Linked DNA regions of Astyanax mexicanus. The protein of the gene in region 3 interacts with the protein of the main gene of each other region in a pairwise test. Links are inferred from orthologs where the notes say so. Each region holds a gene or a part of one and is shown on either strand. Other genes may lie near its edges. The genes, in order: spg21, litaf, reep6 and snx15.

Evidence for each region.
Region 1: the proteins of reep6 (region 3) and spg21 interact in binary tests that used the Homo sapiens proteins (3 or more experiments, as listed by UniProt). The two-hybrid records come from large-scale screens. The link is inferred for Astyanax mexicanus from reciprocal best matches to the Homo sapiens genes REEP6 and SPG21.
Region 2: the proteins of reep6 (region 3) and litaf interact in binary tests that used the Homo sapiens proteins (3 or more experiments, as listed by UniProt). The two-hybrid records come from large-scale screens. The link is inferred for Astyanax mexicanus from reciprocal best matches to the Homo sapiens genes REEP6 and LITAF.
Region 4: the proteins of reep6 (region 3) and snx15 interact in binary tests that used the Homo sapiens proteins (3 or more experiments, as listed by UniProt). The two-hybrid records come from large-scale screens. The link is inferred for Astyanax mexicanus from reciprocal best matches to the Homo sapiens genes REEP6 and SNX15.

Annotation. Positions count from the first base shown.
Region 1 is NC_064423.1:9,406,869-9,415,538, forward strand, and holds the start of spg21 (maspardin), read left to right. Parts: upstream 1-4,901; 5' UTR 4,902-4,985; intron 4,986-6,090; 5' UTR 6,091-6,092; coding exon 6,093-6,155; intron 6,156-6,412; coding exon 6,413-6,574; intron 6,575-8,352; coding exon 8,353-8,433; intron 8,434-8,531; coding exon 8,532-8,670. Other genes in the region: clpxa (caseinolytic mitochondrial matrix peptidase chaperone subunit Xa), read right to left, coding at 1,761-1,912, 3,514-3,568. UniProt on the Homo sapiens protein: May play a role as a negative regulatory factor in CD4-dependent T-cell activation.
Region 2 is NC_064410.1:58,136,622-58,144,493, reverse strand, and holds the start of litaf (lipopolysaccharide-induced tumor necrosis factor-alpha factor homolog), read right to left. Parts: upstream 3,250-7,872; 5' UTR 3,127-3,249; intron 1,510-3,126; 5' UTR 1,370-1,509; intron 363-1,369; 5' UTR 355-362; coding exon 129-354; intron 1-128. Other genes in the region: snn (stannin), read left to right, coding at 5,638-5,901.
Region 3 is NC_064423.1:18,732,615-18,740,681, reverse strand, and holds the start of reep6 (receptor expression-enhancing protein 6), read right to left. Parts: upstream 3,330-8,067; 5' UTR 3,203-3,329; coding exon 3,076-3,202; intron 1,950-3,075; coding exon 1,856-1,949; intron 1,752-1,855; coding exon 1,613-1,751; intron 1,489-1,612; coding exon 1,320-1,488; intron 1-1,319. Other genes in the region: zgc:113223 (tetraspanin-33), read left to right, coding at 4,923-4,979, 5,118-5,175, 5,274-5,398, 6,465-6,539, 6,876-6,971, 7,141-7,269, 7,831-7,989. UniProt on the Homo sapiens protein: Required for correct function and survival of retinal photoreceptors. Required for retinal development.
Region 4 is NC_064415.1:23,823,485-23,832,165, forward strand, and holds the start of snx15 (sorting nexin-15), read right to left. Parts: upstream 3,819-8,681; 5' UTR 3,714-3,818; coding exon 3,612-3,713; intron 2,631-3,611; coding exon 2,595-2,630; intron 1,904-2,594; coding exon 1,783-1,903; intron 1,409-1,782; coding exon 1,293-1,408; intron 157-1,292; coding exon 1-156. Other genes in the region: fis1 (mitochondrial fission 1 protein), read left to right, coding at 4,843-4,887, 7,831-7,963, 8,105-8,181, 8,394-8,499. UniProt on the Homo sapiens protein: May be involved in several stages of intracellular trafficking. Overexpression of SNX15 disrupts the normal trafficking of proteins from the plasma membrane to recycling endosomes or the TGN.

The DNA.
Region 1 (8,670 bases), about 9.3 Mb from region 3:
GGTAGTCACTTCAGAGACTTTAGAATTTATTATGAGATAAGGATTTTTTTTTTTAATTAACAGCCATACAGTGCAGAAAAAGAGCCAAGAAATTAATTATATATATATATATATATATATATATATATATATATATATATATATATATATATATATATACTGTTAGTAATACTAAATAACTAAATATAGAAGAATAATAAGAATAATAAGAATAAGAATATTAACAATTACAAAATTGTAAGAGTGAGATATAGAGTTTGCTCACTGTTTTAGCACAATTTGGTCTGGTTAAAATGGACTCTGGTTTGTTTGTGCCCTTTGTGCAGTTTGATTGAGCAGGTGTAAAAACAGTAATCGCACTCGGGTGCAAATCAAAACACCTGCTAGTGGAGGTGGTCTCGGTTCGGTCCCAAACAAACTCTGGAGCGGTTCACTTGAGGTGAGAACGTGATCTGGTCTGTATCTGATCCAGCTATTAAATATACTATTTTTATTTGAGCTTTAACTGCTGATAAGGTGCAGTTTAATCTGTTATATTTGTCTGATAACAGTAATTACCACAGCTATTAAACTCTGCTACATGCTGTTTACATGCACAATTAATGTGATAACTTGGTCACCAAGTTACGTCGCGCGCACGTAACAACAACGTTATTTGGTTAGCTGGGTGTGCTGCAGTTCTGCACTCGCAGCTGCACGATTTCATTTACTAAGTGTACATCTGCGGTAGGGGTGGGCGATATGGCCCTAAAATAATACCACGATATTTCATGGTATTTTTGCAATAACAATACTCTTGGAGATATGACAAAACACTTTTAAATAAAATATTTCAAAAATACACTATACACTGCAAGGAAAATATATATATATATTACAGATATATTATAGATATACTGGAACTGGCACACAAAATCTTCTTGCTATATTTACTTTCTTGCTCCTGCACCAGACAGTCTGACCAATCAGAGGAGACAATGTGCTTGCGTGGTTTATAGGTGAGCATTTTGCTGAGTTTAGATTTATGCCTGTGTGAAACCAAACCAAACAGAGGGAGAAAATGCTCCAAGTAAACAAACTTATCAACTGATCAACTAGACTATAGTAACCAACTACAGGTGTGGAAATGCCCTAACATTGCATTAGGCTATGTTGAATGTGTTGCGGTGCACATATAACTGCATTTACACAAACATGTCAAAGGTCATGGGATAGCACTATGTAATTACATTCAAGTAATGTTATCTCAGGAGACAGCTTGAGAACACTTACAACTGTATAAATTGTGAGGTTTTATCTTGTGAGTAAGGCTGAACACTGGCCAGTGTGCTCACAGCAAGGCAATGTGAATTATCAGAGCTAGATTGCACCAAATAGACAACACATTCTAATTTGGAAGTTGTTTAGACACGTATTAATACTTTATCCAAAGAGTCACTTGTGTATGATCTAGAAAACCTGAACTTATTGTAAACAGCACAATAAGTGTGTGATCACATCCACATTTAAGGCACAATAGAAATGTCTTATAATTTTGGGCATGTCAGTGTAATTAGCTCTGTCCACTGTCAAAATGTTGAAATGGTATTGCTAAGGGAATAAAAGAACATGTTCATAAGAAAACTTAAATTTGCTAAACAACATAACATTTTATTTTACCCATGCTTGCCAACCTGTTGCACATCCAGACAAAGACAATTTTAATAATTTCTTATCCCATTAAGCATAGGGATTTATTAAAGAAATAAACACAGAACTACCTTTCCACCATCTCCATCCTTCATCCCATCCTTGGATGCATAGTACACACAGGTCTCTGAGAAAGATCTCACAGGGACTTTATGGGTCAAACGAATTTCATGAGATCCTGTTCGGCTAAGAGAAAACAGCTGTACTCTTGATCCATGTATTCCTAGACAAAACATAGAAAATAATTTTAGTGACTCTCACACACACAGTAATGTAGGATGACCATATGTACTTATTTTTAAGTATGAAAAATAATCTAAATTGCGTAAAATATCTGAGAGTTCTTGTTTGTTTTCTCTGCCACACCTGGTCTACATGAAGCTGCATCTACACACAATCAGGTTAAACTGCTTAACACAACATTCAACTGACCACAGCCTAAACAAACAAACTAAATATACACAAACACACTTTGCATTTGAAATAATTAATTTAATCAATCTCACACTTAGTTACAGGCCTAACTTAGGCCTAAGTGAAGCCCCTCCGCCACTTAATCCCAACCACGGTGAATGCAAGTGCATCTCAAAATTCCTTTTATTAAAAAAAAACAAACAAACAGGTAGCTCAAAATATGAGAAAAATTGTAGAGTTACAGTCAGTTCAGTTTAAAGCCTTTAAATAATACTTATTAAAGTCAAACTCACTGTTCAGTGTAGATGTTTTACTACTTCTTGATTTATCAATTCCTTTTTTATTTGATACACTGTTACCTTACATAAACAAACCATTCGCTTTATTCAACAGTACGCTCCTTGGATTAAATTAATTACTGTCTCAATTTAACGAAAGCACCCAACTCCAAACCAAGGGAAATATTGAAAGAAAAAATATTTAACCAAAGCAGAGGTTTATTATACTAAGGAAATGATTTATTGAACTGAAGAAATAACTTATTAAATTAAAGGAACAATTTATTTAAGTGAAGGAGTGATTTATTAAGCTAAGGGAACGATTTATTAAATTGAAGGAGTGATTTATTAAATAAAAAGACAACAATATTTTAAATTGAGGAAACAATTCACTAAAAATGAAAGAAACAAACTTATTAAAACGGAGAAAACGATTAATTAAACCTGGAAAACATTTTATTAAACTGAGGAAATAATTTATTAAACCGAGGAAACGATTCATTATTTTAGGGCAACAGTTCATTAGTCTGAGGAAACGATTCATTAAACCGAGGAAACAACTTATTAAACTCAGGGGAAAAAATAATTAAATTATTTAGCTAGCTAATAAACTAAGGGAGTTATAAGGGAATAAATAACTGAAGGGTTTATTAAACTAAGGAATAATTTAGCTATTAAACTGATTGTTTATATGATGTAATGGATTGTTAAATTAAGTGAACGACTTTAAAAAAATTACTAACTTACACTGTTAAACCGATTTAGATATGTCTGTAAGTTAAATAGTAGCAATTTGGTGTATCAACATTCATACTTCAGCTGCTCCGTTGTTTAGCCGGTAGCTAACGTTAGCTAGGTTGGTTAAATGTCTGTCAGGTAGGTTAGGTTAGCTAGCTTTGGCTAACCGGGTATTAACTCCCCTGTACTCTAAAAAACATGCCTTACAACTACAATACTCAACAGTTTATTAGAAGTACATATCCAGTGTTTAGAGAACTTTCCATGTTGACCAAAAAATAAGCTTATTTTTTATTTTATCTCCTAGCTAGTGTTAGCTAGCCCACAGTCCAGGTCTGTGCTAAGCTAACGCTAGAGCTAAAGTTTTAGCAGCATAATAAAGTGTGTCTCTTACCTTTATGAGCTGAGTTTATGAAGAGTCTCGCTGCTGAGGTGCAGGCACAAGACATGGTTTCCTGCCTTAGCTAACTTCTTCTAGTTCAGCTGGAGTAAATAGCAGCTCAGCAGTGAAATACCGGAATATAATAAACAGCAGATATTCTAACCTGCTCCCCAGCTGTATACCATCACCACCATTCAGTTAGCTGCTGAACTCGCTAAAGCTAGCGGACCTGAGCGTTGAACAACTAGTGCAGGTCCACTGCTGCCCTCCTTAGTCCGTTGGGGTGAAATGAAAATGTCAGGAGTTGAAGGAAAGAGAACGTCAGCCTGCTCTGAGGGACACCGACCCAGGTGACTGGAGGGGAGGTTTAGAGCTGCTGTGGGTTGTGGCCAGATGACGCCAGATTATTACAGTACAGGAGATTTTGAATAACCTGAAATACCCCCAGAAATACAGGCCAGCTATTAAAAACCTATGTTTTTTCACTAGTAATTACATCAGCTGTAACGTTATGTATTGTACAATAGAAAAAAAAAATATTGTACAATAGTCATCCCCGGAAGAATATTATAGCCATCAACATCATTGTAATGGTATTCTGTCTACATATGCTATGTTAGTATTCATTTACATGGAAGCTTATCTTCTCCTTATATTTTAAATAAATAAAAAAGTAGGCACACTAGACAAATGTAAACTTGCACCGATGTGGGATTTCTAGGCCGATGCCAAATTTCGATATTACACAGGTTTACAGCTTTAAAAAAAAAAGAGACCACTTCAGTTTTTGAATCAGTTTCTCTGATTTTGCTATTTATAGGTATATTATGTTTGAGTAAAATGAACATTATTGTTTTATTCTATAAACTACAGACAGGATTGAAGCACTCACCACGAGGCCTCAAACTCAAATGTTGTGGGATCCCAAACAGATAGATCCTGGATTTGACATTAAAGATAATATGGTTCCAGTCTGTATAAATATATATATATATATTTATACTGTAACAGCAGGAGGCATTTTGCAGCAATCCAGAACACAGCATTTGTGTATGTATTTATTTATTTATATAATTATTTGTTTGTTTGTTTACATATTTATTTATATATTTATGTATTTATTTTTGTCAATGACCGGATGATAATAAAAATATTATACGTATATAATTAAATGTAATAGTTAATTTATATTTATTAAAATACAAATTAAAATAGTCAATTATTTTATTTCCATTAACATAAAAAACGATTAGACTACATTTATTAAAGGAATACATTATGTTATTAGCATAAAAATAATTATTACATTTTATTTTTGATTTATTAAAATATAATTTAATGCTTAAAATATTCTCCGTCACCATAACGTGGTGGTCGTACTGGGCATGCGCAGAGCCGTGTGTAAGATGCGGAACTCGCTGTCATATGACTTCTCGGTTTGTTGCTAAAATGGTGCTGATCCGAGGCTGAAGTCTCCGTTAAAGGTAAAACACATCTAAACAAAGCACAGTACTGTTATATTAACAGCTCTGTGATATAATGCAGCCCTTTAAGATATTTTCGGGGCTTATTTCAATGTTAGAATATCGCTATTTTACTCCGTATTTTAGAGCACACGACCAGCTGAACTTGGCTTTCTAGTCGACTTTTCCATTCCACCTTAAATTGTGCTGCTGTTAATACTGCCGCCTGAACACCCTTTGGAACGCAGCTAATGCCCCTGTTTTAAGGTGGAACCGAAAGTTCTGGGTCTAACAGGAGAAATGTCTGTAATTCTGCGCCCAGACATGTTGTTAGTAAGTGATATCGTTTAGTATATGCAGTTACTATAATAGGAATTGTGACAAAAACATGAGTTATCTTAGCGAGTAAGCTAGGTTAGGTTAGTGTGTGTGACAAAGTGATCCATCATTAACAACGTGATTAGATAAAAGCTGTGTAAGCTGTTGTGTGTACAGTTTTTTTCTTTGATAGTTAAGTAGACAGGGGCTTTACTGTAGTTACCTTTTTTCCTAGATTTATTTAGATTTATTGTCACTATTTAATATAGATGTATGTTGTTTTGGGCACGAAAATAAAAAAATATCCACTTTTTTTGTGTAAGCAATTTAGGCATTAAACATGGTTGTTTTTTTCTGATATTTTTAAGGTGAATTGTGTATATTAGGTGTAAGAATCCTTTAAATAAATGTTTTATTAGAATTGAGAAGTAGAGTCCACATATTATCTATCATATTTAAAATGACTAGTGTCTGTGTTATTATTTCAGTGTCAATCTGCAATTTTAGAGTAAGTGTTGATAACAGGTGTTATATGGTTCAATATAACGTTATTTTACAGTTGCAGTGCCTGCACTGACATTAAGTGGTCCACAGCAGGCCATGTTGGATGTGTTCTGGTGTTGTTCTAACATTAATGCTGTAATTAAATTATTTGTTCACTTTTAACAAGGAATGTGATGTTGCACAAAGCAGCCCTTTCAGCCGCTACTGAGGAGCATTGTTTCTGTACAGAGTCCTGCGCAGAGTTCTGTACAGAGTTGTGTTAAGTCTCTCTTGTGTCTTAACCTGTAAATTGATTCTATTTTAGAAATGGAGGAGATAAGAGTGTCTCCTGACTACAACTGGTTTCGAAGCACAGTGCCCCTGAAAAGGGTAAGCTTATGCTTCTGTTATATGTTTTAGTACAACTAGGTCAGGTTGTATGGTCTGATTGTTATTGGATTTCATTTTAAAATTAGTGGTATTTTTTGTGTTTAATATCCCATGACCCTTTCTTTATGGCTTCTTAAGTCGCTCCATCTCTTCATGATTTGAACCATGTGATAGCCTTGTGATCCAGCACCTTTAGGAATGTGACTGAGGCCAGGCTGCTGTGCTTGTGACACCGTGCTGCGATTGCTGCTTTTCAGATCATAGTGGATGATGACGACAGTAAAGTTTGGTCACTGTACGACGCCGGGCCAAAGACCATCAGGTGCCCAATCATCTTCCTTCCTCCTGTGAGCGGTACAGCTGAGGTTTTCTTTCAGCAGATTTTGGCTCTCACCGGTTGGGGCTATCGGGTAATTTCGGTAAGTTTCTTAAAACTGACCATTGTTCAGAGTGTCTGTAGAGTTTTACAAATCAAAAGTTCTAGTGAAGATTAAGTTGTCTTAAAGGAGAGATTTATTTTTCAAAGATGACTATGAGTAAAATGGTTTCACTTCATGTTGAAACCTGTAAGTATCATCTGAAACTTTCCTTTTATCTATTCTTATCACAGCACCGGAAAATTAGTCCTACAGTGTTTTGTTGTACTGTAAAACCCTGTACTGGTATCATGACAAAGTTCAATTAAATTGAATAGATTTTTTTCTTTAAAAACTATTGCATAGCTGTTTTACATTAAAGCTCTTCTTTTAAGATAAGCATCAAAAAATGAAAGAGCAAATTACTCAAATATTTGACAATAAGTGTCAATGACAGTTGTCACTGTTAACAAGCATTTTCTTATATGGCAGACATAATCAGCACATTTTAAATATACACGTGCATTTAAAAAAAAATATAAAAGTTTCTTTATTTCTTTTATTGTTGATGATTTTGGCTTACAGCCTATAAAAACCCAAAAGTCAGTATTTCGAAAATAGAATATTATATAACAAAAACTGGTCCTTTTGGCAGTGTGGGCAGTGTGCTCCATAAAAGTTGTTAGCAGAGGCAAGCATGAAGTGCTGTAAGATTTTGTGGGAAAACACTGCACTGATTTTAGACTTGATAATAAAACACAGTGGATCAACACCAGCAGATCACATGTCTCTCCAAACCATCACTGATTGGTAGAAACTTCACACTAGACCTCAAGCAGTTTGGACTGTGTGTCTCTCCACTCTTCCTCCAGACTCTGATTCCTTGATTTACAAATGAAATGTAATATTTACTGATGATCAGTGATGGTTTGGAAAGACATGTCATCTGCTGGTGTTGATCCACTGTGTTCTATCAAGTCCAAAGTCAGTTTTCCCAGAAAATCTTACATCACTGACTTTGGACTTGATTTAACACAGTGGACCAACACCAGCAGATGACATGTCTCTCATAACCATATGAGACCAAATGAAACCATATGACCATAGCAGTTCCCATAAATGAGCTGCTTGCACGTCTTCACATTGCCTACAAGCAGGTCAGTTTTCTCTGCTGAGAAGCGCAGAAGCACTGCGCTGTTAAAATATCAATTTGCCAAAGACTGAGAGCACCTGCTTCTTAAAGGAAAAGGCAAGTGAAACCCTGGTTGGTTTATTTCACCTTACGCCCAAAACACACCCATGATTAATTAAGAGAATTGTGCGTATTCTTTTGCACCCTTACGATACCAAAGACACATTGTCAAGCCCTAAATCAAGCTGTACACTGCACATTTGAAAATAGACCCACACTGTGTTTTTCAACTGTCATTAAAACATTACTTTACATCCATTTTTTAGGCCCTGTGGGATTCTCCAGGCCATATTAGCAATTATATTCATCAACTAAACTAAGAAACAATTTAAAAATAGCCAATTTTTGTCTTTTAGAAGGACCTGTGTTCAAAGTAACAATAACAATGAGTTTGTTAGTATTGATAGCTTGCATATTACTGCCTGTCGAGGACCTGCATGTAATGGCATGTTGAGCAATCATTCCATTATACGTACAGATTTACAGCCTTTTAAGTTAGATTAACTCATCTGTGAACTCATTCATGACTCACAAGACAAACATTTCAGTCCCTCCAAATACGTTACACTTTTCATCTTTCAGCTAGGTGTATAGTAATTTGTGGCAGCAGTTCAGTTTAGTATTTTAACTCTCTCTGTATCTCACGCAGCTCCAGTACCCTGTCTACTGGGACCTACTGGAATTTTGTGATGGATTTAGGAAGCTTCTCGACCACTTGCAGCTGGATAAGGTTTGTCCGGTTTGCCTTTTTGTTAAGGATCTCTTTGTGAAAGGACATACCCCCCATTTATCACAACAAGTACTTTAACCCTGTTTCTGTATTACTAGGTGCACCTATTTGGTGCTTCCCTGGGAGGATTTCTGGCTCAGAAGTTTGCAGAGGTGACCCACAAGTCCCCTCGAGTTCACTCCCTCATCCTGTGCAATTCATTTAGCGACACATCCATTTTTAACCAAACGTGGACAG
Region 2 (7,872 bases), on a different chromosome or scaffold from region 3:
TTATAATTTATATTTATGATGTAGCAATGATGTAATGCTGCAGCACATACACACACACACACATAGTATCTCCTAATTGAATTAGGCTCAGTCTCCAAACTCTAGAGAAACACCATGCTCCTACTCACCCACAGGAGCTCCAGGTCCAGTGGGAGGAGGTGGAGGTGAGTACATCTGGGTGTAGCCCTGGGCTGGGTAGGGGGGTTGGGGGGCCTTGCTGTAGACAGGCGGAGGGGGCATATGAGCCCCGGGGGGGAACGGCGTTCCTGCGTTCACAGACTCTTCATAAGTCGGTGGGCAGGGAGCTGCCTGTCCCGTCGGACCCATGATCTCCATAGGAGGAGCGCTGGCCATCCCTGGAGCTGTGGAGGAAAAGAAGAAGCAGCAGCAGCAGCAGGGTGAGGATCAGTACAAATGCTCAGCCACATTCACATGTTTTATCACAAATTCACCATATGACATTTACTATCATGATATGTATCGTAAAGATGGAGTTTTATTACTATAATAAACAGTCTGCTGCTTTTCTGTGTACATGTTGTGCATATCACCCATTCACATGTTTTATTTTAAAATACCATGTTTAGTTCTGATAGGAGAATGGATTTCAGCAAATTGTTTTGCTGTAGTACTATTAGTGCTAAAGCCTTTTATCTGCATCTCAAAAAAGAGTAATGTATTTTTTGTGTCCTGTAAATGTATACAAATATATATACACCTGTACATATATTGTAATGCTCTGGAGCAGGTCTGGGTTCAGACATATAGATAACAATAAAGAAAAAAAAATAGTTTCCTCCATCCAATTGTTTTTTTTTTTCGCCCCTCAAACATACAAATACATACTAGTATTTTAACTGACACCACTAATATAAATATCTCATGTCTTAAGAAGAACAAGTGTGATTAATCACAGAGAATTGTTCAGATTAATCTGATAATGTTTTTAATCGATTGACAATATATATATATATATATATATATATATATATATATATATATATATATATGTATATATATGTATATATGTATACATATATATATATATATATATATATATATATATATATATATATATATATATATATATATATGTGTATACACATATAGGTACTGCCCACCTGTACTTACTAACAGTCTATCTCACATATACCATATTTTAACCATAGCAGTTAGAATAAAATGCTCTATTAAAGTGAAAGTGTTCAGCCACTTTTACACGTTTCATCACAAAGTCGCCATATTTCCTCTTTCAGCACAACTTCAGCCTTCAGCCCAAAAACAAACTCCCCCCTTTACCCCTCATCCCCCCGTCTATCAGCTCAGTAATCAGACAGTGTATAAGATCTCAGCAGTGTCTCAGACTCACGCTGTGTAGAAGAGCTTCAGATGAGGGAATTAAAGTATATTTCTCTAGTTTTTCATCTCCGTCTGTTTTCACAGCGTTTCTCCAGTTCCGCCTTCAGTCACATGGGCTCAGTCTGGAGGAGCTCCCGCCCTTCACTCACACTGTAAACAAAACACCAGAAAAAGACCCGGATCAACATCAGAAGTGAATTATTAACATAAACTCTGTGGAACGTGAAACTTCAAGTGTGTAAATGAATTAATTTTATATGTATATGTATGTGTATGTATGTACATATAAATATAAAATGAACTAATTTATACACAATTTATATGCCATACCATATGTCTGTTTTTGTTAAAGAGCATAACAGCATATTACAAAATATTTTAGTATGAAAGCATCTATTTGTAATGTATAACAGTTTCCTGTATCATTGCTACATCTGCTGTTTGTAACAAACCAAACCTTGTAAAAAATTGGGTAAGGATTGTTAGAGTTGTGATTATTATACATTTATAAAACACAGTTCTAATAAATGCACTGAGGGCACATGATTGTTGTAACTCTTTCAAATAAAACTTTTTTTTTTTTATCTTTTTTCAACTCTGAATCTAATAACACATATTTAACTATTCAAAACATGTACTGGTCAAACTCAGGCAGCTTTACTTAACTTTTTACAAGGTTTCTAAGCCGAAGATTGTTACAAAACTCACGTGACATTAAAAAAAAAAGTCCACTAATTCCTTTGATTTTCTATGAGAAAGTCTTTATTGTAAAGAAATGGTTGACTGCATGTTTAAATAATTGATATTTATGACAAAACAATCACTCCTATTACCGGCACTCATTCATGTTGCTGGAACTCACTTCTGTTAATTTTTATGTTTTGGGTAACAGAAATGAAAGTCCACAACATCTACTTTACTCATTATTACATAAATTGAAACTAAGTTATTATTTTTCAGAGGACATAGAATATGATCCTTAACCCATACATCACCCATTTCCCCTCACAAACTACCACTCCTATTTTTTTTACTTTTTCAAATTTGAGTTGTTTTGAGGGTGGAGTCAGCAAAAATCAGGGGTGTCTAGTGCCCCTTTTATAAAACCCTTTTAGTGTGGAAATTTCCACCTCTGCAGCGCTCTCTAGGTTTAACTGTGCTATAGACGAGGATGATGTGTCCGTGTACTTTGGAACGCAGACAAATCACAATACGGAGATCACACAATCAATAATACCACCCACCTGCTGATGTTCAACCATCTGCATTTCACTGCTCTCCCTCCTGCCCCGCCTCCAAACCCATACATCATCAAGTGCCCCTCCCAAACTACCCCTCTTATTGTTTAGACTTATTTTGAGGGTGGAGTCAGCAAAAATCAGGGGGTTTAGTGCCTCTTTAATAAAACCCATTTTGTGGTATTTTCCGCCTCTGCAGCGCCCTCTATGGATTAACTGTGCTATAGGCGTAGATGATGTGCAGGGTTGCCAGGTTCAAAAAAAAAATCCAGCCCAAAGTCAGTCTTAAACCCGCTCTTCAAAAACTTAAACTAGCCCAAAATATATGTCTGTCACATGTTTGTAGCAAATAGCAAAACAACTAGTGTACGACCAATTTTATTATTTATTATAAGTATTGGTATTTATCTTTAAGTCATTAACAATACTGTAACATTAATGTTTGATTAGTTATTTTATAACAGTTTTATATTCCAGTCATTATTTAATAGCAACACAATTAGCAAAAAAAGCACTGACTTTTACTTACTCATTTCTGCTCTTGCTCCTCCTGAACTCCCTGCTCTACTCTTTAACATATTTTTTATCACCTGGTGATTTCTGGTTACATTGTGATTTTTCCTCTCCCTCTTCATCCCCATCTCTCTCTCTCTCTCTCTCTCTCTCTCTCTCTCTCTCTCTCTCTCCCCTCTCTCTCCATCTTTCTCTCTCTTTCTGTATCTCTCTTCCCCCAGCTCAGCCAATCAGCTCTCCTTCATGCCCCGCCCCTAAACCTATACATCATCCAGTGACTCCCCCAAACTACCCCACTCAGCAAAAATCAGGGGGTTTCGATCCCCTTTAATAGCATTTACATTAATTTTTTTTACATTTTATTATCTTATGTATTATCTTATGTATATGTTATTTATGTATTGTATTTTATTTTTATTATTTGGATGGCTGCTGGTGGTAAATAAAGCTTTGCCCCGTTTCTATGCAGCTGCCGTTTCCGCTGCTCTGATTGGTTGAGCTCAGTTTTGCAGCTGTGATCTCACTTCCTTCCCTGTGACAGTCAGTCTCCCAGCGTTCCTGCTCTGCTGGGTTATATATTGTGTTATGATGTCGCTGCTGCAGCGGGTTTAACTCTGATTCGTCTTTATTATCGCCATATTTACTGTATTTAGTGTTTTAAACCGGATTAAACTGGATTAATCAGGGCCGGGGACATGGCGGGGGGCGGTCCGGAGGACTGATCCGCTCGGTAACGGGAATGAAGCGGCGGAGCTGCAGCGGATCATGGTGAGAAATAGAGAGTTTATGAAGGGATAAATTAAATATGTTTGTAATACAGATAATCTGCAGTGTGTGCTCTAAATCTTGCGCTGATTCTTGGTGTTAAAGTTGACGAGAATCCCGCGCAGAAGGAGGTTCCTGTTTCTCAGATCAGAAGCTGTGTGTGTGTCTGACTCTGATTTCTGACTCTGGCCTAACTCAGGCTTTATATCAGCTAGTTAGTGTTTTTGCTATTTCGGCACATAAAAACTGTTTTTAGTTATTATATAAGAACTAAAAATATAACATAAACTACAACACTACCCCTAATTTATTTAAGCTCTTCAGGTCAAAGAGCTCTTTTTAAGCTCTTCTTTATTAGGGCTGCAACGATTAGTTGATATAACCAACAATGTCGATTATAAAAATTTGTCAACACCAAATGTTCCTTGACCTAATCGTTAATTTGCAGCACTACACAAAGTACTAAACATGCCTAAACGCAACAGAGTACACATTTCCTCACTAAATATCAGCACTTTCCACATTTTAAGGGCAATGTTCTGGACATATGAAGGGCATTTAAATTCTTTGTTTAGCTGAAGCAAAGACATTTAAGACGAAGACGAAGAAAATTAGAAACAGCAGCCATACCCAGCCATCAAGCAGAGATGGAGGGTATGGCAGAAATGTTCGTTGACTAATCGACTAATGGGAAAAATAATTGCCAGTAAAGTCGACTACCAAAATAAGCATTAGTTGCAGCCCTATATTATATATATATATTAGTGGTGTCAATCGATTAAAAAATGTTTTCAGATTAATCACAACAGTATTCTGTGATTAACTGTGATTAATCACACTTGTTGTTTTTAAGATGCAAGTTTTTATAGTGGATATTTAAATGTTAATAAAAGACTGAATGTTGGAAATGCAAAATGTAATTATATTTATATTAGTGGTGTCAACAAAAATACTAGTATATATTTGTATGTTTGAATGGAGATAAAGCCAACGTAGGGTGCTGGAATAGAGAATTCATGATAAATTAAATTGAGTAAACTTTTTTTTTTTTTACTTTACTGTAATCATCTCAACCTGGCTGTAAGGATTTCTGAATTAGAACCTAATTAAAGTTAAATTAAAAGTATACAAATCTCAGGAATTGTTTGGTATTGCACACATGCTCACAATGGTCCAGGTTTAGTCAGTAACCGGAAATGGGACAAAATTCAGTGTACAAACTTGTACCGTAAATTGTCAGGGCTATTACTGATTCGCTGTAAATATATATTTTATATATATAGTAGATTGTAAAAGCCAGAGAGCGATGAGTAGTGTTTCTTACACCTTTAAAAGACTCTTGGAAACTGGAGAAAACTGCTACAGGAAGACGTCTGGCTGACCCACATGGAAACAGCTTTAGCCTTTAGCTCTTTAGCTTAACATGATTGGACTAAGTCTCAGTTTTAGCAGTGAAAAGTAGAAGAGGTCTGACAGGTGAAGAAGGGAAATAATAAAGTTATTGATAAGATGAGAATTTTTTTTTTTTACTAATAAATAATATTTATTAATACATATTGGAATAATAAACTATTAATAATAATAAACTATGTGAAAAGACCCTTGGTATTGAGGAAAAAGCTGATACTCATTATAACCTTTCCATGTTTCTCTTTTCTTTCTGAATCAGATATCCAAAGACCTGTAGGCCAACAAAACCACGCTGGCCAGCCTCCCAGATTGATTTATTAACACCAGGAACGACTTCTCCTCCACAACAAGCATGTCTATAATGGACCACAGCCCCACCACCGGCGTGGTGACCATCATCGTGATCCTCATAGCCATCGCCGCTCTGGGGGCGCTGATCTTCGGCTGCTGGTGCTACCTTCGCCTGCAGCGTATCGGCCAATCCGAGGACGAGGAGAGCATCGTCGGAGAGGGAGAGACCAAGGAGCCGTTTCTGATGGTCCAGTACTCAGCCCGAGGCCCACGGGTCGAGCATAAGACCAAGCTGACCCCTAACGGTACCGAGAGCCACAGCTAATTCCCCTGTTACAGGGCAGATGTTCTGTGTGAGGGTCCACAGGGGTCCGATTCGGTCGATCCTTGTATTTAGAACAAGGACTTTCAGCACTTAAGATCATGATCATTTCTCTTTTAAGACCGGATGTGGCTTCAGGTTGTCTCACACACATGTACACACACACACACACACCAAACATGACCAGTGCATGCATTTGTCTAGCTGCTTCTAACTCACCCTTGTTTGGACATTTTCCTATTAGTGTTTGTCCAGTGGAACCCTGTTATAATGTGAAACTGAGGAGCTCCCTGCATTTTTATAGAAGAGCTGACCTTTATTCATCTGTTCAAATCACTCCCTTAATGTTTAAAGGTCACATATTTGTCCAAAATGCAGAAAAAAAAACACATTTTCTGTTTGTAGTATTTTAAAATAATTCATGTTTCTGCCAGAGCTGGCTCTGGTGTGCACTGAAAAGGAGGAATAACTGCAGTCTGTTACTGGATTTATTAAGTCACTTTAAACAAGGGAAGAATAGATGCACATCTGACATGCTTTTTTTTTTTACACAGGAAGCGTAATGACTGTATAATAGTCAATAGCAGTAATTATCTTAAAGGGTGTTCTCACACTAGGCCTGGTTTACTGGTACCGTACCTAAACCTAATGATCATCCCTGCCTTTTCTCCCACTCCAGGATTTAGTATGCTTACATCATCACAAAGTACATTTTTGGTTTTGCGTTTCTTGTCAAGATTGCACAGAATTTTGTTACAGAGCGTTTACGCTAGTTAAACTAACCAGACTTTTTGGGGGAGACAAGCTCAAACACAGGACAGACCACCTAGTGTGAGAATACCCGAAATCAGAGTTTTGATGAGTAATTCTAATACTGACATGCCATCAAGTAACTTTTATGTGCATCTTACAAAATTCATTTAATCACAGGTCAGGGTTATGATGATGTATGGGTTTAGGTTTTAGAGATTTATTCAACTGATCAACTTAAAATTTCTACATAATTTAGTGATTGATGTCTGAACAGTCATTCAGAGTGGACAGTGTGAAATTATCATAGAAAATAATAGAAATTGATTTTGTTGATGCTTTTAACTTTTTGCCTGTGTGAATCATTGTTCATAATACTATATATGCTGTATATATAATATATATATATCATGATATACCACATTTAAGTATGTGTTTAGTTATTCTTCGAAAAATATGACAAAATTATATAATTGCTTACTTTTTTACTTTATTTCAAAGTGACATTAAACCCAACTTTCACAAATGAGAATTACTACCTTTTAGTGCAGCAATATATATGTATCAAATGAAAACAGATGAGGTAGATGCAGTAGCTAATTTTTTAAATATTATACAGGTGATTGTATTTATTGTATTGACAATATTTGTGATTTATTGTATTGACAATATACCCATGAAAGGATATCAAAGATACCAGTGCTGTACATTTCATTAAAGAAAGATTATTAGTCTAGTTTAATTGGAGGAATTACAGTTTATTTTCAAATAAAAGTCACTGTACTCAGTATACGAAAGTAACGGTATTTGAACAGCGTTTTTTAAAGATATCACTACTGATGCATTTTGGCTGTGAAAATGTATTTAAATTTTGTGATAATAATAAGAAATTGTACAGGTATTTAACATTCCTCAATCCACAGTGTAACATACTGTGTGTACCAGTTATTATGTCATATCTAAGGAATTACCACCAACAGTGGACAGTGCTGTAGGTTATATTGATGCAAACAGAGAAGTGATCGCCCTGTTTCTTTAGCTACGTGGGTCCTATAATGTGTGACAATGCCAATAATGCATATATGCATTAATGCATTTTTAAAATCAAGCACTTAATATATGTCACAGTATATACAAACATTGGTTTAACAACCTATATTCTTCACCGCAGGTTTACCCTGTTTATTAGATTAGTGCCACCATGTGGAGTAATGAAGCAGTAAC
Region 3 (8,067 bases):
GTTAACATTAGTCAGACATGTAAAACCCTTTAGTTTCAGCATTGCTTTAAACATGTTTTGTCATCTTGCATTGTGCTGTGTTAAACTCTGCTTATTTATTTACACTGCCACAGCCTATTTTCCCACATGTGCTCATTGAGAAATCCAAGAACACTTACTGACTAATTAAATCAAGCACAGAGTAAGAATTACTGTATTTTTTGCACTATAAGACACACATAAAAACTTTTAATTTTCCCAAAAATCGTTAAACAGGAGTTTCAGTTTCAGCACCGGGGCTGGAGTAGTATTAGCATTAGCTGCTAACCACGCTATGCATTCTTTCACGGTTCAGAGGTGAGTATTTTCAGCCTGTAGCCTGCTGCTATCCCCAGCAAGAACTGCTAAAGCAGAATTAGCATTAGCCTTTAACCACGCTAGAGCTTTTGTTGTTCAGGGGTGAGTATATCAGACTGTAGCCTGCTGCTAACCCAAGCTAGCACTGCTGGATTAGCATTAGCTGCTAACCACGCTAAGCGCTAGCTCTTTTGCCATTCAGAGTTGAGCACTGGACTGAAATCTGCATGTTTACTGTGTAAACAAACAAGCTACATTGGACAAACCACTAGCTAATATCACCCTGCCTTACGGGAACACTCAGAGTTCCTCAGTGTAGCGCTGTCAGGCAGTATTTACTAGCGCTAACCATAGACTTCATGGAAATCTGGAAATCTAAGCTTACTGTAAACAGAAAACGCTTTACTCATCCAAATAAACAGTTTTCAGGAAAGAAATCTGTGTAGATTATCATCCAGCACATATTTGACTTTTTTTTATTACAGTTTACAGTTTGTTTACTTAGCTTAGCTTTACTTAACTTAGTTATCCCCCACCACCACCCACCACCTGCTGAATTAGAAGGAAAACATGGCGACACTCCTGTTTCTTTACTAGTATTACATAATGCACCTTATAATCTGGTGTGCTTTATGTATGAAAATAGACATACATGGATAGTGTGCCTTATAGTGCGAAAAATACTGAGCTATAATCCAGCTCTTTATCTGAGTTCCTGACCAGATTTTTAGACCTTTCTTCAATGTAAGAAATCAGATTGTGCTGTTTACATCTCTCCATTAACCGCATTAATCCGATTATGAGTGGATTTTTTCATATAAACGCTCTTACTGACCAAGATTTAAGAATCTGCGATAGGATTCATAACATAATCTATGGTATATTAGAAAGAGAAGCTTTAAGGGAATGCAATTCTTCACAAAAATAATTATTAAAGTTTACTGTTCATTTTTTATCAAATTAACTATCATATGTTCACCTACCCTCTCTTGTGACAGACTCTGCAGCGTTCATGGCCTTCCCACTAAGGTCGCTGACCATGTTGTCCACAGTCGCCTCATGCTTGAGGAAAAATGGCCGTACTAAGTGATTATACAGCACCTGAGAGCCATTCCAGGAGAAGGGGGCCATGCACCACAACAAGAACAGGCACTAGAAACACCAAAAGACAAGATGCATGATTAGTTGGAGGGATAAAATGTGTTATGTGATTATTGTAGGTATTAAAGGGTTTGCATGTGATGGTCACTGTCCTCTAAGTGGCAAAAAGACATACCTTGAATACATAGTAAAAAGGAAACCAGTAGAGAAAGATGTCAGAGAAGAATTCACCCACACCAAAGAATCCATACACCACCCAGTACGTGAGCCACTGTGTATCGTCTTCCTTATTGGGACTCTCAATAGCCTTTATTCTATAATAAAGATTTAATACACAATATAACTATGCAGTAATACGTTTCTTAAATGTAGGAAATTATTCAGAACAAGTATTATAATAAGAGTTAAATACACTTACGAGAAATATGCAGGATAAACAAAACCAATCAAGTTGCAGAGCAGGGAGGCTCCATACCCAAACAACAGATACAGTCCAGTAACAGAAACAGCTCCTGTAAAGATGAGAGGAAGAGTATAATGTGAAGTCAGATTTATAAATGTGAAATGAAGCATTTTTAGTTTCTATAAGACTTAGAGTACAGTGTTACTTGTTTAAACTCCCCTTTTTAAAAAAGAATCCAATATTTTTCAAAAGTAGTTTTATCCTATTCTTAAAACAATTCCAATATTTTAAAAAAATAGTTTTAACCCATTCTCAAAAAAAAAAATGTATTTTTTAAGTAGTTTAAACCCATTCTCAAAAAGATTCAAATCTTTTTTTTTTTGGGATATTTTTTAAACTATATGAATCTTTTAAAAATAATCAGTTTTCAAAAAGATCATCGTTTACATTTTTTAAAGAAGTAGTCCAAACCCATTCCCAAAAATCTTTAAAAAAATAGTTCAAACCCATTCTCAAAAAGATTTTTTTTTTTAATAGTTCAATCCCATTCTTAAAAAGATTCAAATCTTTTTTTTAAGTTGTTCAAATACATTCTCATTTTCTCTTAAAAAGTAGTTTAAAACCATTTTTAAAAAAGATTAAAATCTATTTTTTTCTTTTTAAAGTTGTTCAAACCCATTCTCAAATATAGTCTGAATCTTTTTTTTCCAAATCAGTTTAAAAAAAAACATATCTTTTACAAATACCTTTTTAAGAGCAGTTTTTTTAGCTGATATTTTAGTACATAGTTTAACTCATTTAGAGAGGAGTAATATTGTACAAAGGGGACCCTTACTTAGGTAACTTACTGGAATTGTTTCCACCAGTGTGTTCACTGGTAATAGATGAATATATTTTCAGAATTTAATAAGCTGTTTGACAGTTTGTGAACTAGCAGCGTGTCTGTGTGTCTTTATGAATGGTCTTATCGTGCAGGAGATCTGTTAAACAGACTGAGTCACTGGGGCAGAAGGCATAAATAAAGACACGCAGAAGGCCGGTAACATCCTGATTAGTGCTGTTCCACCTGCTGCTGCTCAGAGGATTAGAGTCGCGAGCTCTGTGCTGTCTGCTGTGTTTCCTCTCAGCTTATGCCTCTCATTCCTCACCTCACTTTACCGAACACAGCGGGTCATAGCGGGTAATTTAGGACCAGTTTAACTTTCCAGTTTAAAACCAGAATGAGCCCAGCTTACCTATGGCCAGGTAGCGCTTTTTAATTCCAGTCTTTTCCTCGATTTTGTTCAAACAGTCCGTGACGATGTTCTTCTCGTTGAGAAAAGCCTCCACGCGCGTTTTTATCTTAGTGAAAATAGACAGCATTGTGAACAGAGTTAATAAAGGTTATTTTAAAGGATTAAAAGCAGTAAATATGAACGCGGACATCAGTAGTGAAGCAGGTGAGCGCTCTGCAGTTTCGCTGACATGCCAGAGCTCAATTCATCCCCCAATCGGCTTTATGAACGGGGGGAGGGGGCGGGGTCAGGCTGCAGCCGCGCGGAACTGGCAGAGCAGCGACCAATCACAGAGCAGTGCGCCTGAGCGTCACTCCCTCAGAGCCATGACGAGGATCCAGAGCCCAGACCATAATAAACACTAATCTGAGGAGGTAACAGTAGCACTCATAGACCTGTATACATAGACGCCTCAGATTACAGAATAAAACAGCAAGTTTTTTTTTTTGAATAGCCAGTTGTAGGTAAGTGTAATGTCCACACAGTTACAGGTTCAATATAATTATCAGGAAGGATCAAGACTGTTAACCAATTAATTCCTCTCTGTAATGACCGCCTGTAATCATCCCAGAGGAACTGGAAGTAGTTTCACTGCTCCACTGTTTAATGCTGCGGGATGTACAGCCCTATTCCTGATGATAAATACTAGGCATGGCCTTTTTTGCGGCTGCTCCAGAGTTTCCTGTTCTAATGATAATGCATCATTCTACAAGCTAATAATCAGCAATGGGTGCATTGTCATGGAAATCAATAAAAATTTAATGATTTTCCATGGATATGGTTTTATACCAATCAATTATTAAACTTTATTTTCAGTAATAAAGAAAACAATAGAGAAAACAACATGAAACGTAACTAATATTTGATGACAAAATAAAATATTTTTAAAGAAAAATTTGAAAGTAAAAATAAATAAATAAATAAAAGATTATACAAAAACAGAAAATTATACAATGTAAAGTTTTGTTTTGTTGATAAAACATACAGTGGGGAATCCAAAACTTATTTCAAATACAAATCAATGTACAATCTTTACTGAATGTTTTTTTTCTGGATTTTTAGTTAATATAGTGTCTCTCTCGCTCTTAAATTAAACAGACCATTAAAATTATAGAATAATTATAGACTGTTCATGTCTTTGTAAAGGGGTGAACTTACAAAAATTATTATTTTCCCCACTGTATATATACAGCTCTGGAAAAAAAATTGAGATCACTTCAGTTCTGAATCAGTTTCTCTGATTTTGCTATTAATGGGTATATGTTTAAGTAAAATGAACATTGTTGTTTTATTTTATAAACTACAGACAATATTTCTCCCAAATTCTAAATAAATATAGTGTCATTTAGGGTATTTATTTGCAGAAAATGAGAAATGGCTGAAATAGCAAAAAAGATGCAGAGCTTTCAGATCTCAAATAATGCAAAGAAAACAAGTTCATTTTCATAAAGAGTTAAGAAATCAATATTTGGTGGAATATCCCTGTTTTAATGCATCTTGACATGTTCTCCTCCACCAGTCTTACACACTGCTTACCCAGAGGTTTTCAATTTGGTAAAATAAAATAAACTCATTTTTTTTTTTATTATAATAATTATGACTATTGTGTTTCTTTCCTCTGTTTGTGGGAAAACATGAGTAATTAATGAAGGACCCCTCAGGTAACATCTACGACACTAACGTCAGACAGGTATTTTGAATGCAAGTTGCTGCTTGTCTTTCACACAGCAATGAGGAACTGAGGAGACTGTGTCAGACTATGCCGAGATTCCTTTCTTTTTTAACATAAATGGAAGAAAACGTCCGTAATGAGAACTTACAAGGGCATTAAGTACACTTTATTTTTCTGCTGTTACATATTCTGGGTAAGTGTCTTCACAGAGTCTATGAAATATGGTCTAAAATACTATTTAATAGGGAAAAGAATGCAGCATGACTTATTGTACTGATGTATTGATTGTTTTGTATTTAAAACAAGCAAAATGATTCTTTTTTTCTTTTAGGTGGCCAGTGGAGTGCTGTTTGCTGTTGGCATATATGCTAAACTTGCCAAAGAAAAAGGTACTGAGTTTGTTTTTTCATTAAAACCTCTAGCTGTGTCTCTCATGCTGTCTGTGTTGTTGCTCTTGTTCATGTTCAGCACTGTTGTGATTTTGCAGATGTGGTGGACACACTGACCACGGACCCCGCTCTTCTGCTGCTCACTGTGGGCTCGCTCATGTTCATTATAACATTCCTGGGCTGTTTTGGAGCTCTGCGGGATGCTTCCATACTGCTGAAAATGGTAATTCATCTCTTATACAACTATGAAGTTGAAGTTGCTTGTTATAAACAGTCACCTAATATAGTACTTTGTATGTTGTATGTAATATGTATGCATTGTTATATGTACACTGATCAGCCATAACTTTATCACTACTGACAGTTATAGTGAATGACATTAATTATCTCCTAGCAAAAGCACCTGTCAAGGAATAACAACACACCCTAATAAACATAAGAACTGGTTGTGCCACCTTTAGCAGCTGGAACTGCAATCAAACGCTATAATTTCCTATAACTGGAGATCAGATTTTTACATTACATAAGGAATACACACCAATCTTCAGATCCTGTAAACTCTGAAGGTTGTGATGTGAGACGTCCATGGATGACATCAGTAAGACCTGTGTGACAATGTTTCTGTCACCAGTTCTCTTTCAGATCTCTTTCAAATGCTCCTTTTTTAACAACTGCATACTGGAAACACCCCGCATGATCCGATGACCTGACCCATTATGGCTCAAATCTGGTATTTTTTTTTTCATGACTGTGTGAATGCGCAAAATCTGATTTTTTCAAATCAGTTTTTTTCAAATCAGGTTTGAGTCACTTTGTCTACATTCAAATTACCTTGCTAAAGTGACTCAAATCTGTTTTTTTTTTCATGGCTGTGTGAAAGTGCCAAATTCCGACTCTAATCAGATTTAAATCACAATAGCTACATTCACATTACCAGGCTGATGTGACTCATTTCTATTTTTTGGTCAATATGGCTCAGATGGGATTTTTTTCATGGCTGTGTGAAAAAATCTAATCTAAGACTCAAATCTGTTTTTTTGCTTAATGTGGCTTAGATCTGATTTTTTCATGGCTGTGGAAACGTGCCAAATCCAAATTTTTGAGAGGCACAACCTGGTTATTGATGGTCTGACCCTACAGTTTGGCAGTTATCGAAGTGGCTTAGATTCTTACACCCATTGTCCATTTATCTGCCTCCTGTTTACTCATATCTAAAATGTATATGATAATCTGTTTATTCACTTCATTGGGTTATGAGTATTTGTAACTTTTCATGTCTGTTCTTCCAGTTTTTAGGAATTTTACTGGTTATTCTGCTGCTGCAAATTGCTGCTGCTGTCCTGGGCTTTCTCTTTTCAGACATGGTAGATATTAATCTCCTTTTTGGAAACTATTGCTTAAATTATTTAATACTTACTTTAAAACGAATAGCTTATCTGTGGTTCTTGGCTTAGACATACAGAAAAAAACTGGTGTAGAACCTTAGTACTGTATTAAATACTCACGATTTTTGTTTTCCTTGACTTCAGGGACAGTTTAGCGTCTCTCAGCTTGACCAGAAATGCATATGTAAAATGTACTATTTAGTGGGGGCTCAAAGTGTAAATTTAACTTCCTGACTGTAGGGGAGTCTGGAGGCAAAAAAATACCAGTTCTTGCATAATGACCCAATACTTATCATGTCTCTGTTCATCTCTTAGGTTTTACACAGGACTGAACAGCTCATGAAGAAAGCCATTGTTCTGTACCGAGAGGACCTGGACTTAGAAAATGTGATTGACTTTGTGCAGAAAAAGGTTTAATAGATATTATAATTATTTCTATAATATTATTTATGTCTTAATAAGACTTTATTCATGGAAACACTTGGTCGGTCTTTTAAATGTATAAATGTTGTAAATTCACTGAATTTCTCTTTATTCTTCTGATTTTTTTCTGGTGAATCATGTCTTTGTTCTGCTGCAGTTCCTATGCTGTGGAGTGGATGATTACACAGACTGGTCTCAGAACGTCTATTTTAATTGCTCTGAGAAAAACCCCAGTCTGGAAGCCTGCGGTGTGCCTTTCTCCTGCTGCGTACGACAACCCAACGAGGTCAGACTCAACACAAACATCATATAATGAGCTTGCCTTCAGCTGCCGGAGCCCTGAGAGAGCATGATCGGCTTTGCTCTCTCTGGGTGGGTAGATGGCACTTTCTTCACACATCACTCCAAAGGGTGATGTTGATCAGCACGAGGCGTCTGTGAGCTGATGTATCGGAACCGAGTCGCTGTTCTTTCCTCCGAGTGCGCTGTGATGCTACTCTGCAATGCTGCATCAGCAGAAGTTGGAAAAGAGGTGGTGGCTGACTTCACATGTGTCGGAGGAGGCATGTGCTAGTCTCCACCCTCCTGGTTTTGGGGCATCACTAATGATAGGGGAAGGTAATTGGCCTTGTACATTTCGGAGCAAATGGGATAAAAATGAAAAAAAAAGGGTACCATATAGGGTTCTTTAAATTGTAGCAAAATTGGATCCCCTTTTAAATGTTTTTATTTCGAGCATTCAGATGGTTTTGTGCTGCTTGGGTTCTCCTTTAAAAGGTTACAGGTTACGTGAAATGCTTTGTAGAAATACTTCCTCCTGTGGATTAGTAACTGTGTGTGTTTTCAGACTGTGTTTAATTCCATGTGTGGCTATGAGACTCAGAGGGATGAGTCTTCACCCAGTGAGCGGATCTACACCAAAGGCTGCCTGGAGAAGATTGTACTGTGGGGGAAGCAGAACCTTCTGCTGGTGGGAGGAATGAGCGTCAGTCTGCTGTGTCTGGAGGTGGGAGATTCTTCACATTTTCTCTGAATGCCACTTATTGTATAGTATAAACTTGCATGCTTTATTGTTCTGTGATTA
Region 4 (8,681 bases), on a different chromosome or scaffold from region 3:
CTCCAGTTCCTGAGCCTGGATGGGAGCTTCTGTCCCTGCCTCCTCTTCTGCTCCCAGTTTGGCGGCCCCTTTAGGTAGGGGGATGAGAGGCGGAGGTAGAGGAGAAGAGGAAGAAGAAATTGAGGAGGGTTCTAACGGCCTTCTCACTTCTCCTCCCTGAAAAGAACGAGAGAAATAAAGAATTAACATAAAGACATAGCTATTACTGGTGAGCAGGTTTGTATGATATTTTGTGTGTATGATTTGGTTATATTGCTTAAATACAATTTCAAAATAGGAACTTTTAACTGAAACACCCCCATAAGTAAGGATTCCTACTCAAAAGGTCAGTAAAGCCTCACCATGTTCGCACGTTGTTTTGATGTGCAAAATACTTTTTAATGCATAAAGAATCATTATAACCTAGAATCCCTAACAATTATAATGATAACAAAGATAACCTAAGACATTAAAATGGTCTTCATCATTAAACACCAGCAAATACATTTTCAAACCAGTCTTTTGCTGTCTGACTTTCAGGAATGATGAAAATTATTAAAAAAAAATTCCCCACATACATATGTTAGCATTCACCCCCATTTGCTACTGGTTAACTAGACTATTGGCAACTTACTGACTGCTATCATGCTATGCTAAAGTTTCAGTTTCAATTAATTTAATTGATAAATACAGATAAATTCGAAATTACAGGAAGCCCCTGTGTAAATCAGAGTAGAAGCATAACCTGTACAGATGCTTATCGACATGTTTACTGAATGATTCAATTAAGCAGTCTCTATCATGCTCAGTGGTATGTATAATATGTTAAGCAGAGCCAGCTTTCCTTGATTTCAGATCCAGATAACAAGTAGCAAAATCTGAGTCACCAGATCTCAAATCAGATTGCAGGCAACACTAAACAACATTCTCCAGTTTAAACACTAAGAAACAATGAAGGAATATCTTTTGAAAGAATGGTATTTCTATTCCAACCCACCATTACACTTCTAAAGACATATATGTAGAATCTGTGTTAAGGTATGCTGGTGTTAATCTGGTGGCAAAACAACTCACTAAGACGCTTTGTGCTGAAACAGATCTTCACATGAGCAATGTGAGCATACATTTTAAGGCAGATACCGTGCTTGTGTACTTGTGGACCCCTGATAATATACTATAAATAAATCATTTTAAAAGAGTAAAAGAGAGACAGTAAATTCTGAGACATTCTGATAATATGTTAAAGTTGCTGACTCACAGTGAGTCAAACGTGTGTGTATGAGCACAAAGGTGTATAAACATGCAGGTCTGACCCTGAAGAATTCTTTGAGCTGTGGGCTGTTGTACAGTGCCGGGATATTTGTCGTAAAAAGCAACATGGCTTCAGCTGCCTTTCTCCTCTCCTCAATCACTGACTCATCAAACCGACCTGAGAAAGAGAAAGCAGAAGAGACAAAAAGAGAGTTTGTTTGTTGAAAACATAAATATTTTAACTTAACAGTATTTCTACTTTGCTTATAAAAAGAGTGTTTCACTTAATGTTAAAATTCTTTGGTGGAAAAATATTATTTTTATATATTTATGTATTTCTATTCACCCTTTTTTTTTTTTACAAAAATCAATCATTAAACAAAAAATCTAAATCATTAAACAGAGTAATGTTTTGAGTCCACATTCTAATGTTAGCACTAATGTTAGCACTCATATAAAGGCAATCCTACAAGGTTTACAAAGGAATTATATGGTTTTAATATATCAGTACAGCAATGATTCTGCTGCAGAACCATTGTAAATTGGTCTTACCAAACAGCTGTGCACGAGGGAAAGGGGGGAACTCTTCTTGTCTTCTGAATAGATTTCTGTGTGTATATGCCAGCTCTCCATGCAGCTTTTTCATCTCTGAGTACCGTCTCCATATCACTACCTGATAATCAAAACAGAACACCACTCTAACTCTCACTCTGACCACTGTCAGTAATTTCAATTCAGATATATTTCTTTTTCTGCTGTGTCTGTCGTTTTTATCTTACCACTTTAGGAATAATACAATTCTATTCATCCTGTTCATTTCACTGGACTGCATTCATTTATTTTGTTTAAAAACAGCCTTAACATAAGTTCATCGTTTTCAAGAGAAATATGTAAATTGTATAAGCAAATTAGTAGAGAAATGTCTTATCTCAATCATCATTGCATAAACTATGGGCAACATTTCTCCCAAATTCCAACTAAAAATATTGTCATTGAGAGCATTTATTTGCAGAAAATCAGAAATGGCTGAAATAACAAAAAGAAGCAAAGCTTTCAGACCTCAAATAATGCAAAGAAAACAAGTTCATAATTATAAAGTTCCAAAATCAATATTTGGTGGAACAACCCTGTTTTTTAATCACAGCTCATGTATCTTGGCATGTTCTTCTCCACCAGTCTTACACACTGTACTTGGATAACTTTGTGCCACTCCTGGTGCAAAAAATTCTAGCAGTTCAGCTTGGTTTCTGAAGTTTCCAATTTGGTAAAATCAAAGAAACTCATCATTTTAAGAGGTCTATTATTTTTTCCAGAGCTGTACTTGCCCAACATTAACCAAGTGACTGGACAGGATCACAACTCACCTCTTTCACATCCTCTGGTCGCTTTTTTGACACAAACTGTCAGAAGAAAAGTGAGAAAGGAAAGAAGAGCAGAAGTAAAACATTATTTCAGAAGTAAATAATTGGAAATGACAGAACTTTATTGCTGTATAAAACATATGTCAGGTTTTTTTATATTATTGTAACAGCTCTTTACATTGAATGAGTATTTGATTATTAGTGAGCCAGCAGAAATGCTCCATAATCATATATAACCTTATTTACATTTACCCTGGATTAGAAATAATATTAAAATGATTTCTAACCTTCTATTAAATGATATTTAGGAGGCATGTGTCTTTTTACTTAATTGCACCACTGTAGAATGATAGCATTTAAAGTGTGTTTTTCTGTTAAATTAATGTGCATTATATAGCTCTACACAGAATTAAATACATTTTGCACAGACTGATCTGTCTGTCCTAAACAATTCTCCCCTGAAGGCAAAGTCCTTCAACTTCAAGGCAAATCTAATCTAATATCAATCTAAACCATTGTGGCAGGAGGTTGGCAGTTTAAAATCCACCCAATGGGCACAAAGCCAGATCACGGGGGTCTCCCCTCATGCACTGTGTCACGAGTTTTATTGAATCACACTGCGAACAATGGCCCATTAATAATATTAAACCATGGTACAGAGGGGCACCTTAACCATTACACTCATCACACTGTATTTCTTTATAATCAGTCAGTGTAACAGACATTAGACATCACATATACACACATGAAACTAAGATTACTGTTAGAGTTATAGCTACTGTTCGAAGTCAAACTGAATATGTCAAATAGCTAAATCTGCTAAAACATGTGACTACTTTTGTAGAAACTCCTGCAAACGTTTTAAAATATTGAAACTATATCTATTTTGTCTGAAAAATAAGAAAAGAAGCACTGTTATCATGTTGTTATCGCATTAAAGAGCCTCTAAAGGGTAACTATAACCGAGCTAACAGTGAAATGAACGGTTGCCAGATCAGGATTAAGCTGATTTCTACTAACCCTCGCCGTTACTTTATATTCCGTGTGGCCTTTCTCGTGTGTGCGTGGATCTGTAACGGTGAAGAAACGGTAGTACTCTTCTTTCTTAGTTTTTCGAGCCATTAGGAAACGCTATATTCATTAATATTCTACAAGCAACACAGCCCCATCTGCTCCTACGGCTCCTAACGTGAAACCAGTGTTTGGGCTTTTTGACAGCTGCTTCCTGCTTAGTGACGTCCTCATGAGGCAGCGTCACCAGCGGCCAATGAACTGCGCGCTTTTCGTTTTTCCTCACTTTTATAAATGTGAACCTGCGCCCACTTATTTTTTTGCTTTATAGTCGATTTAAATAATATGTTACAATTTTATGTGTTTGTATTTGTTGCTAATACTGGTAAAAAAAAAAAACGAACCACAACTAAAACTGACCACAGCCTAAAAATGCCTGAACGTACACGTAAAAAAAACACAAATGTGACTTTTTAAAATTGTATTTATGCATTTAATTATTTGTGTACATATGCATAAAAATAAAACGTTGCAAAAATGTGGTTCAGAAAAATTGCGTTTATAAAAAAACTGTATTTCATACATATTAAATATATTTTAAAATATTTTCATTTAAATATAATAATAAACAATTAAAATACAAGATTTTAAATACAAATACTGAAAGACTAAACACACTTTAAGGAGGAAAAGCAAGAAGTCACATGCCAAATGAAGTTCATTCATTCCAAAACAACAAGAAATATATGTAATATATGATGCCTTTATTTTTATTGCATAAACTGACCAGCAATCCAACTGCACTTGAACACATAGAGTGTAAACAATAACAGTACTACTAATAATAAATATACTAATATAATAATAAGTAAGACTAAATGAAAAAGAAAACATTCTGAAGAGACAATAGACAATATACAAGTTTGGTAAAATGTGTCATTGTAAATCGCTGGAGAGCTTACAAAAAAATTATTATAATAATTATTATTATAATTATTATAAAATTATTATTATAATTATTGCATTTGTTTAAAAGAAATGCACAGAATTTAATATACATATATTGGAACTCGATAACAAATTGTGCATTGAAGAAAAAATAGAACACATTGAAATGGAACATTTAAATATCTATTACTTATTTTATTATGTATTTTTGTTTTAGTGCAAAAAAAATAGTTTGGCACACATGCTTCGTCACAGACTTTTATCCTATGATTTGCTCAGTGTTTCCGGCAACATGGAGGAGGTGGTGACGGACGTCGTAGCTCCGGAAGATTTGAAGGTAAATACGAATTTAACAGACATTAAACAAGTAGCGACTTAGAGAGTAGCCTCTTTATATCATAAACATGTTTTCTGTGATTGTTCGACCGCGAACAGAGTGAGTAAACTAGATTCTGAGACACTGGTAGTTAGACAGGCAGGACTGGTAATCGACATTACATCATTGTTGGTTGATTATTTAGCGTTACGTCGTTTACGTTGATGGCCCTTCTGTATCGATCTGCTTAATTTGCCTTTAATTTAGCTAACCTGTATCAGAAATACTAAAGAGTTCACTTTTATTGTCACATCCAATTAGCACAAAAAGTTGTCAATGTGATTGAAGATCGTGGGCACACCAACATTCACAGTGGTAAAACATACCTAATGTAGCTATACACAATAAAATATACCATATGTAGCTACATAGGACCTTATACATAAACTACTGCTCTTTTCCAACCTGATAATAAATAATCTATGAAACCAATAGCAACGAATCAGTGCAAATTGCTTGTTGTAACTTAACTCTTCCAAATTAAACATTTTTTCCCAACTCTCTAATCTATTAACACATGTGTTTAACTATTCAAAACATGTACTGGTCTAACTCAGGCAGCTTTACTTAATCTTTTAGCGTAGAATTTGACATGAAAGACATGAAAAATAGCTAAATGGCGGCTGTGCTAATAGCATAAGGACACTGAGCAAATTCTAGTGATTTTCCCAAAACTTAAGAAATAAACAAATTACTTCTAATAATTATTTAGGTAACAGAAATGAGTGCTGAGATTGACCTCCTCAGTCATAGTTACAATAAGATCAAATATACAGAAAAACAAATATTGGTCTTCTCGAAAAACAACTGATGTAACTTCCTGTTGTAGATGTGACTTGTAGAATGTTTCAGATGGGGAAATGTTTTATGGTAACAGGACTGAGTAAAACTTAGGGACACAAATAAAATGTGTATTTTAACTTAAATATAATGAATTTATTATGAAAAGCATATATTGGATTTAGAGTCACACAGCAATGCAAAAAATACGTCTGTGAAGGATTTTAATAATTATATTTCATGGTAAAGTTTATTGTTCGAGAGTGGGGACAGGTAACAAGTGCAATTTTTCAGTGTTAAAAGTAGTTTTTATTATTATTTTTTTATTAATTACATATTTTACTTTTGCGATTAGGTCAGTGTACACAACAAGATGCTTAATAATATAATGTATAAAAAAATGTGCACATTTATATATGTAATTTCCTGGGGACAGAAATAGCACCCATTCAGTGGAATGGCCCATAGATAATACACATTAATATTTACAATATTGACTTGATAAGATTAAGTATTGTATTCAAATTTAATTGTGACATATAAAGTAGGTTAAAACATTTCCTCACTGTTTAGGAGACAACACCACAAAGTTGTATTTACTAGAATGGAAATAAAGATTTTTAAACACATCCTAGCTTTCTAAGTTAACATCTTTTTAAAAGGTTATTCTGATTACGTGTTTCAGATTAAAGCTAGACATTAAGGCAGTCATTTATTGTATTATGATACAGTGCCATTCAATGGTTTGGACACACCTCTTTTCATTCTTTGTTTTTTTATTCTTTAATGATTTTCTGCATTGTGAATTTAATATTGAAGACATTAAAGCTCTACAAGAACAGATGAAGAATTATTCTGTACACATTATTCTGTGTCAGACAAACCAGAATAGGTTTTATACTTAAGATTTTTCATGATCGTGATTCTAGTTTGAGTATAGTGTAGTATCATACATTATTTGTAGACAGTGTAACAGTTCTGGGTTTATGTACAAGTGTACACACTGCAATTCCAAATATATGTATGATCCATAAATATGTGTAATTTAGGTCTATGTCTGTTGGATGTAAAACTCAACATATCAGACATATGATTCATATTAACTATTTTGAGTGTAGTAAAATTTGCTGATTTTTTAGCATTTAATGAGATAATTTGAATCAGTTTACAGTAATCAAGTTAAGTCTGTTGCCATTGGCAACTGGACAGTGATACCTGCTTAAAACATGCATGGTTGCTGCCCTATTTATGCCCAATAATGCAACAATTTGTACATGACATGTTATTATGATTCAGTTTCATGACATCCTGATAAGATAAGATAAGCTAAGAAAAAAAAGTAGTAGCACCTCAACTGTTACAACTGGCACTGTAATTCCAGTCCAGCTACAAACATCCGGTTATTAAGAACCTGCCAAGAACCTTTGGCCCTTAGATTGTGCTAAATTGGCCATGTCTCATAGAGTTTTGTTGTATCTTAAGCTTATAATCCACAATATAATCATCATATGAATCTACATTCTTTAAATGTTTTTTGACCCATGCCATAGAAGAGTCACTTTTGCTTTCCTAAAGGACCAAGTTTGTGATCGATTTGTATGTGTTTTGAGTCCTAAAGAACCTAAAGGTTGTATTAAAATTATGTGCCAATTTAAAGTTTCTTCACATTTCTTCACACCTTTTATTGCAATACCTATAAAAATATATTTTAAAAACTTTTGTTTTTAAGAATGTAAAGCTAATGTGTTAAAAATTAAATTTTGAGTGACATGCCAGATGTCATTGGACAGGAACTAGAATTATGTCCAAAGAATGTTGCAATGTCCCATGGTAGCTAAAAAATGCTGCACTGACCTGAAGGATATGTATGGGGGTCTCTTGTTTGAATGCAAATGTGATTTCTGCTGGAGTCGCATATTTGTTTGCATAACCAATTTCAGCCAGACAATGCCAGACACAATCATACCCACCCACTGCACTGTTTACTGTGGGTGCTAATGACACTGTATTAAGAAATGATAAATGCCAGCACAACTTCAGAAATGAATTGTCCTATCCATCTGGCACCCACTACCAGGTGGTATGGTTTTAACTTCCCTCTTTCTGATATTCTTTTTTTGACAGAGGTTTGAGCAAAAATACAATGCTGAACTGGTGAAAGGACCTGTGTCCAAAGAAACCAAATTTGAGTATGCGTGGTGTTTGATCAGGAGTAAATACACCAACGACATCAGAAAAGGCATTCAGCTTTTAGAAGGTGAGAGGGTCATTGGAAGAACATCAAGAACCTGTGCTAGAATAGTTTTACAGATCCTGCGAACACATTATTTTGTTGAATTCTTCAGAAGAACTTGACAATACACTGCATTTTCATCTTATGTTCTGTTCACTGTGGCAGAGCTGTTGCAGAAAAGCTCAAAAGAAGACCAGAGAGACTTCCTGTTCTATTTGGCTGTTGCAAACTACAGACTCAAGGTGACGAGAACAGTTCTTATTTTCTGTTCTAAATGAAGGTAAATTATTTTATAAATGTGTCTTTCATCATTGCACTGCAGTCAAGGACCATGTTGAACAGACTGTATTAATAAGGTTCTGTCATTTATTAGTGTTATTCAAAGTTTAAATTAGTAATAACTGAATTTCTGATTGATTTGTCTTCGTTCTGTTCTTATCTATTCTTTTCTCAGGAATATGAAAGAGCTCTGAAGTATATTCACATCCTACTCAGAAATGAACCAGGAAATAAACAGGCCATTGAAATGGAAAAGCTCATCAACCAGGCACTAAAGAAAGGTGTTGTATATGTGTTTGAGCTCACTGTATTTAGAGAATGAAGGATCTACCTACTTGTAGGTTTCATACAAATCAAACTGTGCAAAGTAGTAAAAGTAGTAAACACTCCTCTCAGAGTGACGTCAAGCTCTGGACAGCGGTACAACATTAAGCAATAAATATCAGATAATAAAGAGTTCAAG